3 linked regions of the Coturnix japonica genome follow. The protein of the gene in region 2 interacts with the protein of the main gene of each other region in a pairwise test. Links are inferred from orthologs where the notes say so. Each region holds a gene or a part of one and is shown on either strand. Other genes may lie near its edges.

The links. The genes of interacting proteins can lie anywhere in the genome.
Region 1: the proteins of AAMP (region 2) and BHLHE40 interact in a two-hybrid assay, tested with the Homo sapiens proteins (2 studies listed by BioGRID and IntAct). The link is inferred for Coturnix japonica from reciprocal best matches to the Homo sapiens genes AAMP and BHLHE40.
Region 3: the proteins of AAMP (region 2) and AEN interact in binary tests that used the Homo sapiens proteins (3 or more experiments, as listed by UniProt). The link is inferred for Coturnix japonica from reciprocal best matches to the Homo sapiens genes AAMP and AEN.

Annotation. Positions count from the first base shown.
Region 1 is NC_029527.1:15,937,538-15,941,732, forward strand, and holds the start of BHLHE40 (class E basic helix-loop-helix protein 40), read left to right. Parts: upstream 1-1,395; 5' UTR 1,396-1,656; coding exon 1,657-1,736; intron 1,737-1,832; coding exon 1,833-1,902; intron 1,903-2,241; coding exon 2,242-2,349; intron 2,350-2,689; coding exon 2,690-2,813; intron 2,814-3,597; coding exon 3,598-4,195. UniProt on the Homo sapiens protein: Transcriptional repressor involved in the regulation of the circadian rhythm by negatively regulating the activity of the clock genes and clock-controlled genes.
Region 2 is NC_029522.1:24,182,363-24,186,483, reverse strand, and holds the start of AAMP (angio-associated migratory cell protein), read left to right. Parts: upstream 1-1,321; 5' UTR 1,322-1,385; coding exon 1,386-1,473; intron 1,474-1,638; coding exon 1,639-1,791; intron 1,792-1,933; coding exon 1,934-2,053; intron 2,054-2,238; coding exon 2,239-2,378; intron 2,379-2,501; coding exon 2,502-2,646; intron 2,647-2,719; coding exon 2,720-2,803; intron 2,804-3,073; coding exon 3,074-3,189; intron 3,190-3,382; coding exon 3,383-3,486; intron 3,487-3,649; coding exon 3,650-3,740; intron 3,741-4,018; coding exon 4,019-4,121. Other genes in the region: probable hydrolase PNKD, read right to left, coding at 392-500, 605-779, 1,104-1,185. UniProt on the Homo sapiens protein: Plays a role in angiogenesis and cell migration. In smooth muscle cell migration, may act through the RhoA pathway.
Region 3 is NC_029525.1:11,789,218-11,793,460, reverse strand, and holds AEN (apoptosis-enhancing nuclease), read left to right. Parts: upstream 1-1,443; 5' UTR 1,444-1,568; intron 1,569-1,876; 5' UTR 1,877-1,878; coding exon 1,879-2,484; intron 2,485-2,874; coding exon 2,875-3,075; intron 3,076-3,412; coding exon 3,413-3,613; 3' UTR 3,614-4,076; downstream 4,077-4,243. UniProt on the Homo sapiens protein: Exonuclease with activity against single- and double-stranded DNA and RNA. Mediates p53-induced apoptosis.

The sequences.
Region 1 (4,195 bases), on a different chromosome or scaffold from region 2:
TGTGCTGGGTGCTGGCAAACATCCCCATGCTCGGTCAGAAGAGAGCTCATGGCTGATGGGCTGCAGGCTCTCACCATGCAGTGCCAGCACCCTGCTCATAGCAGACCCTCAGTGCCATTGGCTCTCACTGCTTTTCCCAATGGGTACCCCGACACCATCACAGATTAATGCAATGGTTGGGTTGGATGGAACCATACAGGTCACCCAGCCCCCACCCCTGCCACAGGCTGGCTGCCCCCCAGCTCAAGCTGCCCAGGGCCCACCCATGGTCTTGGGCACCTCCAGGGATGGGGCACCACAGCTCTGGGCAGTGTGTTTTCAAGGCTCAGTCCGAGCTTTGGTCACCACCTGCAGGCTGCTGGGAGGGTGGGGGTGTGTTCAGTAGGAGGGCTCTGGGGATGCCCATCGGGTGCCCGCTGGGTGCCGAGCCGAAGCGCTGCTGCCCTGCATAACCTTCGCCTGCGGCCGTCCTTTAACCTCCGGTGCTGGTAACCCAAAACGAGATTGCTGGAAATGAGAGAGCAGAGGAGTCAGCTATCTGATTCCAGGCCACAGGCACATGCCTGGCCTTCGTGGATATATTAAGTAAGGGACATTTTAAAACAAAACCACCCGCAGTAACCTTATCGTGAGGCTGAAGCCGCAGCCCAGCTGCTAACTCCGAGCTGCCCACACGGGCTCTATCCGATGCTGCTGTTGGGATTTCACAGTGTTTTGCCCCAAATCACCATCTCCGAGCCCTCAGTACAACTTGAGCCCGAACTGCGAGCCCTTGGCTTCTGGGGGGTCTGTAGATAAGTGCAGATCACTGCTGGGCACTGTCTGCTCCTCTCCTGGGACAGCACCTCAGACCCGTGACTGCAGGAAATTTGGCCTCTTTGCTGCATTCTGTACGCCCTGTATGTATGCATTTCTGCGCAGAAATAATTCAGCAAACAAAATCTCGGAGACAAATTGCTGATTGCATCAGCCCCAGCTTATGAAAGCTGATCATAGGGAGGACAATGTAACCCAACTCTCCGCCATCCCACTTGCCGCCCAGGAATGCCATCGCTCCACTCGGATCCTCTTTTTAGGGGGACTCCAAAATCCTTGGCAACATCCCTTAAGGTCATGAGTAAACCCCGAGCCTCGGGACGGCTCGGAGAGAAGGGAGCAGCCAAAGGGCTCCGGCAGCGGGGATTACCGACGCGCCGCGGGAGTGTTGAAGAACGGGAGTCGGGTGCCGAGCTCCTGCCCCGCTCCGCTGCGGGACGGCGGGGCAGAGCCCGAGGGGCGGCCGGGAAGCAACCGGGGTCGGGGCCACCCGGGGCCACGGACCGGCCGCCCCGCCTCCACCCCCCCCCGGCACGTTGCACGGCGGAGCGGGCGGGGGGAGGAAGGCCGCCGCTCGCCGACACGTGAGCCTCATGTGACGGCGATGGAGGGAGGGAGGGAGCGGGGGGGGGAGCCCGGCCAGACGTGCCGGGAGTCACAGGGTAACGCACGTCGCCGCCGTCCACCCACTCGGCCGCATTTAACCCGGCCCTCCGCCTCCCTCCGCTCCTCAGCCGGCGAGGCGGGGACGCGGCATGAGCTGCCCGCGCTGAGCTCCGCACCGCACCGCACCGCTCCGCTCCTCCCGGCTCCCGCGGCACCGCTCCGCTCCGCGCCCCCATGGAGCGCATCCCCAGCGCGCAGCCCCCGCCCGTGTGCCTGGGCAAACTGCCCGCCCTGGAGAGCGCCGATGTGCCGGGGTAAGGCTGCGGGGGGGACAGGACGACACGAGAGCGTCCCCCCGCCGCGGCCCCGGGGACAGGGGTAACCTCGCTGCTTTCGTTTCGCCCGTGCAGGCTGGACTTCGCGCACATGTACCAAGTGTACAAGCCCAGGAGGGGGTTAAAGAGGAGCGAGGACAGCAAGGTAACGGGGTGGGCGGTGCGGGGCGGGGGTCAGCGATCGTTGGGATGGGGGGGAGTGAGAAAGAGAGCTGAGCTTCTGTGGGGTGATGCGGGAAGGGGGGAAGGGGCCTCCACTGGGTAATTCTGGGGGAAATAAAAAAGAAATGCTGCGGGGTGGGGGGCGGAGGGGGTGCGTGAGTATTTGGGTGGGGAGGGGGGGGGAAAGCAAAAGGAAAAGGAAAAAAGAACAGAGGGTGGAATGCGTGGTGGGTTTAGCGATTATTTGGGAAGGGGGAAAAAAAGGAAAGAAGGCAAAAAGACGGAGGGTGGGTGCGGAGCGCTGACCCGCCGCTCCTTACAGGATACCTACAAGCTGCCCCACAGGCTGATAGAGAAGAAGCGCCGCGACAGGATCAACGAGTGCATCGCCCAGCTCAAGGACCTGCTGCCCGAGCACCTCAAGCTGACGGTACGGGCACAACGGGGCTCCGGGCCCGGCCCTGCGTTGAGCGCGCGATGCCGGCGGGGGCAGCAGCGCCGAGGCACGGAGCTGTGCTCGGGGTTGGGCGTCCCCAAATACCCCCGGGATGTGGGGCCGGGGGCTGCCCCGCGGCTGCTCTCTGTGTGTTCCGTCCAAATTCCGGATATTTCTGTTCACAGGAAGCACGACTTGTGCCTTCCCCAATTAGCAGCGCTGCCCCCGAGTCCCTGCCCCAAATCGCCCCCACCTTTGCCGTGGGAATGTCTCCCAGCGCCTATTTCCACCCCCACCCCCGCAGCGTCCAACGCGTTGTGTGCTCTGCCCGCAGACCCTCGGTCACCTGGAGAAGGCGGTGGTGCTGGAGCTGACCCTGAAGCACCTGAAGGCGCTGACGGCGCTGACGGAGCAGCAGCAGCAGAAGATCCTGGCGCTGCAGAGCGGGCTGCAGGCAGGTGCGTGAGTGCAGCGTGCGGGGACACTGCGCGGGGAAGGGATGCCTGAGCCTCTGCCCTTTGATTGCCATCAGTTTCTCTCGCTTTGCTTGTGCAGAGCAAGTGCAGCTCTCCATGGGGTCGGAGCCAGGCGTGCTGTGCGGTCGCTTTCATTTTAAAGTGGATTTGAAGTAGTTTTATTTAAAGCGCAGCTTTGCTGTGATGCCCTCTCCAAAGTCGTTCAGCTCTCTCCATTCATGAGCTTTGGATCCTGGTTCTGCGCTTTCCTTTTCCCCCAGAGCACACAAACACCCGCTGTCCGTGTGCAGATCTGTGTTCCCTCATTCTGCAGGTGGACGGGGCTCAGCACAGTGGCTGCTCGCTCCCTCTGCTTCCTCCTGCTGCTTGCACACGTGGCATTCACATGGCTCTGATAAAGTCAAACTGAGCTTGGCCAACGAGGTGCCACTGCCCTGCAGGGACAGCACCAGGGGAGACCCATTGGCAGTGGGGGCACAGCGTGGCATTGAGGGGTCCTGCTGGGTGTGGGATGCACTGTCTGCTTGTTCCCCAGTGGAAGTGCCAAATGCAGAATTGAAAGATGAAGGGCACGGGTAGAAGTGAATGGAGGGATGTGAAAGTAGCAGGTTGGATTCTGGCGCATAAGTTGTGGGAACTCAGGTTGGCCACTGAGTTTGCTGTGCTGGCTGTGTTGTACCGGACGCGTGCTGTCAGCCTGGAGGTGGTGATGGAAGTATTTGGCGTGCTGTTAATTTTTAATTTCTCCCTGTTAATGTTTCCTCAGGTGACCTGTCCGCGAGGAACCTCGACTCCAGCCAGGAGATGTTCCGCTCTGGCTTCCAGCTGTGCGCCAAGGAGCTGCTGCAGTACGTGGCCAAGCACGACAACAAGGAGCTGAAGGCAGCGCAGCTGGTGGGGCACCTGCACCGCGTGGCGGCCGAGCTGCTGCCGGGCAGCCCCAAGGACCTGAAGGAGAAGACGGTGCCGGGGGGCAAAGCGGGCGAGGGGCGCGGGCAGAACTGTGTGCCCGTCATCCAAAGGACATTCGCTGCCTCCAGCGGGGAGCAGAGCGGCAGCGACACAGACACGGACAGCGGCTATGGGGGGGAGCTGGAGAAAAACGACTCCAAACCGGAGCAGCCCTATTTCCCAAAGGATACCGAACTGAAATACGCCGTCCAGGAGAGGATCAGCTCCATCAAGCAAGAGAGCGAGGACCCTCCGGCCAAGAGGAGCAGGCTGGAGGTGCCTGATGACGACAGCCCCTTTGGCAACGAGGTGATGGGCACTGCGGGCGGCTTCCTGCCCCCCCACGCCCACCAGCCCCCCTTGTGCCTGCCCTTCTACCTGATCCCACCATCCGCCACTGCCTACCTGCCCAT
Region 2 (4,121 bases):
CGCTTCAGCACCCTGAGTTTGTGGCCTGCTAGAAGGGAAGGGTTCCCTGTGTCCCACACTTGGGCCCTGGGGCTCTCTGGTCCATGGGGATGGAACAGTGCTGGGCTGTGCCTGGGGGCCTGGGCTCCATTCAGTGCCTTAAACACAGCCTCGGCCGTGAGCACAGCCCTGGTAGGCGCCAGGCCTTACTGGTTCCGCTGCAGGCCTGGCCTCTCTCAATTGTTACACATACTCAATAAAACACTTTAATTTTCCAGCTGGCCCCGGTGTGAATCGGGCAGGGCCCTGGGCTGGGAGTGCGGGGAGGGAGGTGTCCCCATGTCAGTCCTTGTGTTGCTGTGGTTCCTGTCTATGTGTCCCGGCGGTAGCGCTCCGTCTCGTAGTCCCCCACGTTGGCTCCCAGCATCTTGCGGCGGATGTGGAGCTGCTCCAGGCGGTTCTTGTCCACCTCTCTCTTCACCAGCAGGAAGAGGATGATGCCGCACGGCAGCCCGATGGCCCTGGGGACACGGGGAGGGGACACAGGGAGGGACACAGGGAGGGGACGTGACACCGTGTCTCCTAGTGCCGAGCCTCCCCCCCAAGCTTGTGCCTCCCCACTCACCAGGCCACCCCCACCGGCTTCATGGGGTTCTTGCCTTTCTTCCTCGTGGGGATGTACTCCACCCCCTCGGGGAGCCGCCCCGTTGGCTCTGCTGGCTTGGGCGGCACGGGCGGCCCTGCGGGACGGTGGCAGCTCAGTCGGCCCTCAGCCCCCCGCCTGGATATTGCCAGGAGCCCTGGGTGGAGACAGGGCTCGTGTAGGAGACATGGGGGGACACGGGGGGTCCTGCTGCCCCCACCCTGCTACAGCACGGGGGGCGTGGCCAACCAGGAGGGGGCGTGGCTTAATCAAGACGGGGGCGTGGTCAACAAAAGGCGTGGCTTAACCAAATGGGGCATGGCCTATCCAAGATGGCGGCGTGTCTTATGGTGCCACTCACGCACCGGGTGTAGCTGTGTGTCTCTGTGTGTGTGTGTGTGTGTGTGTGTGTGTGTGTCCGCGTATTGTCTCGCTGTGACACACAGCCATCCCTCTGCCCGCCCCCCCCACCTGCCTTTACCTCGCAGTCCGCCGCCAGCCGCCGCCATGTTGGGCCGTGCCGCCATGTTGGGCCGTGCCGCGCTCCCTCGGCCCCGCTGCATGCCGGGAGCTGCAGTCCGCCGCGCTGGGATAGAAAGGGATATGAAGGGAGAGAAAACTGCATTTCCCACAGTGCACTGCGCGGAGAGCGGAAGTCCCTTGTGGCGCTGGAGGAAGAGGCGGGGCGGAGGTGAAAAATCGGGCTGTGATTGGCTGTAAGGGGAAGGCGGAAGTGGTGTTGGTGGCGGCGGGGCAGGCCGGCATGGAGCCCGCGGCGGGGCCCGGCGCGTTGGACTTCCATGGCGACGAGGAGATCATCGAGGTGGTGGAGCTGGGCCCAACAGGGCCGGGTGAGACGGGAGCCCCGCCTCCTCACGGGGCACCGGGCCGCCTCGACACGGGGCTCGGCCTCGCGGTGTATCCCCACCACGGGGCCTTCAGCCCTGCTCCGCCTGCGGGGCCGGGGATGCCCGTTGGGGTGGAGGTGGGCGGGGGGTGACGGTCGGTCCCCGCAGATGAGCTGGCTGCGGAGATGGAGGACGTGGAGTTCGGCGATGAAGGAGAGGAGGAGCCCGACGGGGAAGGATGGGAGACAGAGGACGATGAGGGGCTGGAGGATGGTATGGAGGTGCAGGATGACAGCGAGGTCACGTTCTCATTGCATTCAGGTGAGCCATGGGGGTTCCCTGGGTTGGGAAGCTGCACTGTGTCCCTCTCCTGGCTCTATCAAGGGGATTTGAGGGCTCTCTAGTAGCTGTTGTGCCGTCGGGGGGTTTGACTCTGTGGTGTTTGCATGTCCCCGCTCTGCAGCCTCAGTGTTCTGCGTCAGCCTCGACCCAAAGACCAACACGCTGGCGGTGACGGGTGGGGAAGATGATAAAGCCTTCGTGTGGCGCCTGAGCGATGGAGAGCTGCTGTTCGAGTGCTCAGGTGAGGGGCTGGGGCCAGGCGCCCCTGCTCAAATGGGTCCCATAGTAGGGGACCCATAGTAGGAAGTCTGGGTCTTGGTAGCACTTGCTCTTCCCCAGCTGATGTTCCTCTGGAGCTGGGCTCCTGATTGTTTTCCATATCTGGTGTTTGTTAACAGAATGGTCTGTACTCTTTGCCATCTCTAGGACACAAGGACTCTGTCACCTGTGCCGGTTTCAGTCATGACTCTGTGTTTGTGGCCACGGGTGACATGTCTGGTCTGGTCAAAGTGTGGCGGGTGGACACCAAGGAAGAAGTGTGGTCCTTTGAGGTGGGGGACCTGGAGGTGAGTGGCTGAAGCTCTGCTCCTGATGGAAACGTGGGGGCCAACAGTGGGACCCAGCTCTGGTTCTCCTCCCTTCTGTGAGGACACAACCCTGTGACGCTGCCTGTCCCCTTCTCTGAACAGTGGATGGAGTGGCACCCTCAGGCCCACGTCCTTCTAGCGGGCACGGCTGATGGCAATTCCTGGATGTGGAAGATCCCCAGTGGAGATTGCAAAACCTTCCAGGGCCCTGCATGCCCTGCCACGTGTGGCAAGATCCTGCCTGACGGTGAGGAACAGGGAGGTGGGAGACAAGGGCTGTGGGAAGCTCTGCCTCTATCTGCTCGTTCTGTTTTACCCAGGGAAACGAGCCGTGGTGGGATACGAGGATGGGACCATGCGCATCTGGGATCTGAAACAGGGAACCTCACTGCATGTTCTGAAAGGTGGGAAAGGGATTTTTCACCTGGGGTGCATCCCCCATGCAACAAACTCTGAGCTCTGCCTTGGTGAAGAGGCAGCATGTACAGAGGTTAGAGGCTGCCAGGAGTCTGGTGCTGGGTGCAGTGTCCTCGTGGCAGCCGTCCCTTGCCCTGGGGATGCCACCATGGGGTGGGTGCAGTGCAGATACTGCAGGGTGAGGTGTGCTGGGCTTCGAGGTGCGTGGAGTTTAAGTAGGAATGGGCGTAACTTATTCCTCGTGTTAATCTCCACAGGCCAGGACGGCCACCAGGACCCCTTGACATGTGTGGCCACCAACCAGGATGGCAGTTTGATCCTGACAGGCTCAGTGGACTGTCATGCCAAGCTGGTCAACTCTGCCACGGGCAAGGTGAGTCCGTGCCCACCTGTGGGGCTCAGTAGTGGATATGGATGACCTGTCCAGATCGGGATGGCGCTGGACTTTGCCAGCCAAATGCGATGGCCATCTGGGGCCAGCAGGAGGCGTGCTTGGCCACCACTACCGCCATTTCTCTGCTGCTGGGAGGGTTGGGGCGTGAGGACTCACGTTGTTCCTCCCCCAGGTGGTGTGCGTGTTCAAGATGGAGAGTGCGGCTCCCAAGGCCCCTGTGAGTGAGGGCGAGGAGGCAGAGTCCAATTCAGTGGAGTCGTTGGGCTTCTGTAACGTGTGAGTGGGGCACTGATGATTTTCCTTATGGGATGTTTTGTGGTTCCAGCTCTGATCATTGGGTTGTCCCTCTTCATTTCAGTGCTCCTTCAACCCCGATCCTTCACACGCTTAATTCCCTGCTTACTCCAGGTCCTCATAAAACTCATTCTCCTCTCTGCAGGATGCCACTGGCCGCTGTTGGCTACTTGGATGGTACACTGGCTATCTACGATCTCTCCACACAGACCTTGAGGCACAAATGCCAACATGAGGTACTACCCTGTACCTCATTATCTCTGGGCCCAGCTGCCACCTCTGGTAGCCCAGCGCTGCCTCTTTTAGAGCCTGGGGGGGCTTTCCTGGGGTTGGTTCCCAATTCGTGCTTCTCTTTGCTCGTGGGCTTCCCCTGAGGTAGCTGTGGTCCCACACAGAGGATGTGTCGCATCTTGGTCACGAGGGCTGACCCCTTGCTATGGGGAGGGATGGAGTGGAGTCTGATGGTGTGCTGGGACTGTTACTGAGTGTTATTCCTCCTCGTGCTCATTCCCAGTCAGGAATTGTGCAGTTGCTGTGGGAGGAGAACTCCGCTGTGGTGTATACCTGCAGCCTGGATGGGGCTGTGCGGCTCTGGGATGCCCGCTCAGGGAAGATGA
Region 3 (4,243 bases), on a different chromosome or scaffold from region 2:
GTCCCTGGGCTCCGGCATGCTCTGCACACACCGCAGCACTGCGACACCCAGCACTGTGCCCCACACCACGCTTCTCCAAGGGAGCTCCCCTTGGCATCTCCTTCCCACCTGGCTTCCCATATTCTCCCTTGCATCGGACAGTCCTTTTTGTCCCTCTGTAACTCTTCCTCCCTCTGCACTGTGGGGTGAGCGCAGTCCTCTGCTAAGCCATGGTCAGTGGGATTGAGGGGCACTCACGTGGTCCAATTTAAAGCAATTCTGACTTGGATGGAGACAAAGGTTGCTGCTGTTCACCTGCTGACCTGTAAAACCAGAAGAGAAATGCTTTTCTTCTCCTCTCCAAATGCCCCTCGTACTATCACCAAGGCTCCTGTGTGAGCAAAGAGGGCAAAGCACACACACCCTGCAAAGCACAGAGCCTGGGAAGGGGCTGGCTGAGCATAGACTGCAGAGATGGATGGTGATACTGGGGGAAAATAAGGCTGAGTGGCCCCTGTATACAACAGTGATATCCCATCAGCCACCCCACTGACAGGGATCCCAGTGCTCCAGCCTCAACAAGGGATCCAGCAGCAGAGCATATGGTGCTATGGGGTGAACACAGAGCTGAGAGAGCCCAGGAGCTCCAAGCCATGAATGCACAAGGAAAAATTAAATGGTGGTTTCAATTTTACCTTTCCAACCAGGCAGATCAGAGAAGGCAGTGCAGAGGGTGAGGACACTCACCCTGCATCCCCACGACGGTGGCTGACATCTGCATGGCGGTGATGGGATGATGATGGCCGCGATGCCCTGTGGAAGACTAGTGATTTTGTTGTTGTATGGCTCATCCCACCACAACAAGTCACAGTCTGCCTTAGGGCGCACGGTCCCTGCGGCGCTTCAAGAGCCTCCCCAGCCCCACGGTGAGGATGAGGACGGTGGTTGGGCTGCTCCTGGATCCATCTCCCACTTCTGATCACCTCGGACGTTGCTTTGATGCAAACCCAGAGCAAAGCAACGAGAGGTCGGTCTGAAACAACACTGCGGCTGCAGATGGAGCTGCCCTATTCACCCAACACTGGGAATGTGAATGGAAACCCCAAGGATGTGTGTCCCACATCACAGCTCTGATACCATCCCCACCAGCAGCTCCCTGCACTACAGCCCTATGGTCAGGGTACATATAGGGCACCCTATAACCAAAATGAAGCACAGGGTTGGGTTAGAAGGGGCTCTAAAGTCAAGTTGCAATCCCCTGCTGTGCATTGCATGGCACCCAGATGCCAGGGTCTCATCTGATGCACCACCAGAATGGGGCATCAAAGCACTTTATAGCCGCAGGACCCTATAGGCGCCCTACAGGCAAAGCATCCGCATTACACTCACGCCACGCCGCCATATTAGCGGGAGGTGTTAGCCCCGCCCCTTCGCGGTGACGCACCAATCACACCGCCCCTATACGAATCAATCTTCATGCACAACCAATAGGAAAGAAGAGGGGGCGTGGCCACGTCAGAACTTGTCCAGGCATGTGAAAGCGGCTACTTCCGGGACGGACACGTGGGAGCTGTGCCGGGCTGCGGAGGGTGAGGGGGATATAGGCCGGGAATAGGGGGGGATATGGGTATGGGTATGGGTATGGGTATGGGTATGGGTATGGGAAATGGGGCTGACAACGGTCTGGGATTGGCTAAAGGGGCAGATAGGGGCTTGGGGTTGGGTAATGAGGAGGGTAGGGCCTGGCAATAGGCAAACAGGGCATTGGGGGTTGTGCTGTAACAAGGATCCCATTGGGTCAGGGAGGGACAGTGTGTATGGAAACGGGACTTAGTGTAATCAGGGAGCAGGCCCATTCTGGGGGTTCAGGGCACTCACTGCTCTGTGCTGCCCGCAGATATGGCTCCAGGAAAAGGCCAGATGACGGTATTGCTGCCCCCCAAAGCTTCTGTGCCCGTCCCAAAGCGCACCCACGGTCCTGCAGGACCTCCCAGCCCCAAAATGACACCGCAGGGTCCTGGCAGCAAGAAGAGGAGCCGGAAACACCAGCGCTTCATGGAGCGGAGGGCGCTGCTGGAGAGGAGGGGGCTGCTGAGACCACACCGACGGGTGGGCACGCAGGGACCCCCGGGTGGGCTCAGCAGTGTGACAACACGTGGCTCGAAGGTCTCCAGGCCGGGGCTCTCTGTGTCACCATCTGCCTCCCCAGATGGCACTATGGGCCGCTGCTCTGGGACGTCCACAGGTAACAGCATCACAGCCATCCAGCCGTGCCTCCCACGTTCCAAGAAGTATGTGGCTATGGACTGTGAGATGGTGGGCACAGGACCCCGGGGCAGGCAGAGCGAGCTGGCACGCTGCTCCATCGTCAGCTATGATGGTGATGTCATCTATGACAAATACGTCCTGCCCCTGCTGCCCATCGTGGACTTTCGTACCCGCTGGAGCGGCATCACCAAGAGGCACATGGAGAGCGCCATCCCCTTCCGTGCTGCACAGGAGGAGGTGAGGTCCTGGCACTGCGAGAGTTAAGGGCTGACAGTTGGGTTTGTGACAGCCTTGCACAGTGAGTCTGCTGTGTGATTTCATAGAGTCATTAAGGTTGGAAGCGTTCACTAAGATCATCCAGTCCACCCCAAACCACTCCCCCCTATGCCCACTAACCACATCCCTCAGTGTCCCATCTCCACTGTCCTGTAACACCTCCAGGGCTGGTGACTCCACCACCTCCCTGGGCAGCTGTGCCAATGTATCACTGCTCTTTCTGAGAAGAACATGAGCTCAGTAATGGGGCTCACTTGTTGCTTCTCATTCCTTGGAAACTGAAAAAGTAAACCTGGGTGCAAAGTGGTTTATTCTATAAAGTGCTTCATCTAACCCGTCTGATGCTTCCAGATCTTGAAGATCCTGAAGGACAAGATTGTGGTTGGGCACGCCATCCACAATGACTTCCAGGCCCTGAAGTACTTCCACCCAAAGGAGAGGACACGGGACACCAGTCGTATCCCACTGCTCAACCAGAGGGCCGGGCTGCCCCCTGGGGCCAATGCTTCTCTTAAGAGCCTGGCCAGACACCTGCTGCAGAAGAAGATCCAGGTGAGTCCCACAGACCTTGCGGGGAGGTGGAGAGTCCCAGTTTGTACAAGTTTATATGGCCAGCCTGGCCCTGTGTTGGTGTGGGGAGGCAGAGACAGTTGCATACATCCCTTGGTGAAGAGATATGAAGAGATACACTCACCTGCTAGATCTGTCCAGTGTTGCATCCAAACCCTCAATTCTTGTTCTTAAGACAAGCCAAGAGTTAGACTCGATGGTCTTTATGATCCCTTCCAACATGGGATATTCTGTGATGATGTTTTGTTCTATGATTCTAAGTGCTGTGGGTTATTTTTGACAGCCGCTTTCCCTAACGGTGCTTCTCCCCTTCATTCAGGTGGGCTGCACAGGGCATTCATCAGTGGAGGATGCGCAGACGGCCATGGAGCTGTACAGACTGGTGGAGGTGCCATGGGAGGCAGAACTGGCTCTCAGCCAACCCCCCCGACCCCCCAGCCCCACAGACCCCGTCACCGACAGCCACCAGTACATGGATGACCAGTACTGGCCCCAGGACCTGATGGTGGGCACCCCGTGACCAGGGACTGCGCTCTGTCCATAGTGTTGGGGACATCCCTGTGCCTTCACCTCTGAGGTGTGGAGGGACACGTGGGGTCCTGGTGCCACCCTGGAGGAGCACAGAGGTGGAATGGGGCTCTTAGGGCACCTGATGCCCTCCAAGGTTTGCCCTCCCTGGTATCATCTTGCTGCTAATAGTGGGAGGGCTGAGGCGAGTGGTTTATCTGAAGGGTCTGTGGTCCATGCTGCACATTGTGGCCCTGTGACAGCAGTTCAGACCTGTTGTGCTGCTGCCTGATTGCTGCAGAGCATCTGGGGCTGATGTTACACCACCATTTTCCTCCCTGGATTCTTTGCACAGTGAAGCCTGTAAAGGAAATCCAGGTCTATAATCAGTTTCTATATCCTGTGGACAAACGGCTTAGAATGCACTTTGTCATATTGGTCCAATTCTGGATTAAAAATGATTATTGCAAAAGCTTTCCATGTGTGTTGGTGTGATCGAGTGCTGTGTTCCAGCACTTCAAGCTCACCTGACTGGCTCTTTGGGGGCCTGATGGTGGCTGGGATAGACAAGTCCTGGTGCTTGGTTCCATGGGGATGGTTCCCCTCTGCTCCAATACATCACAAGGACATTGCAATGGGATCA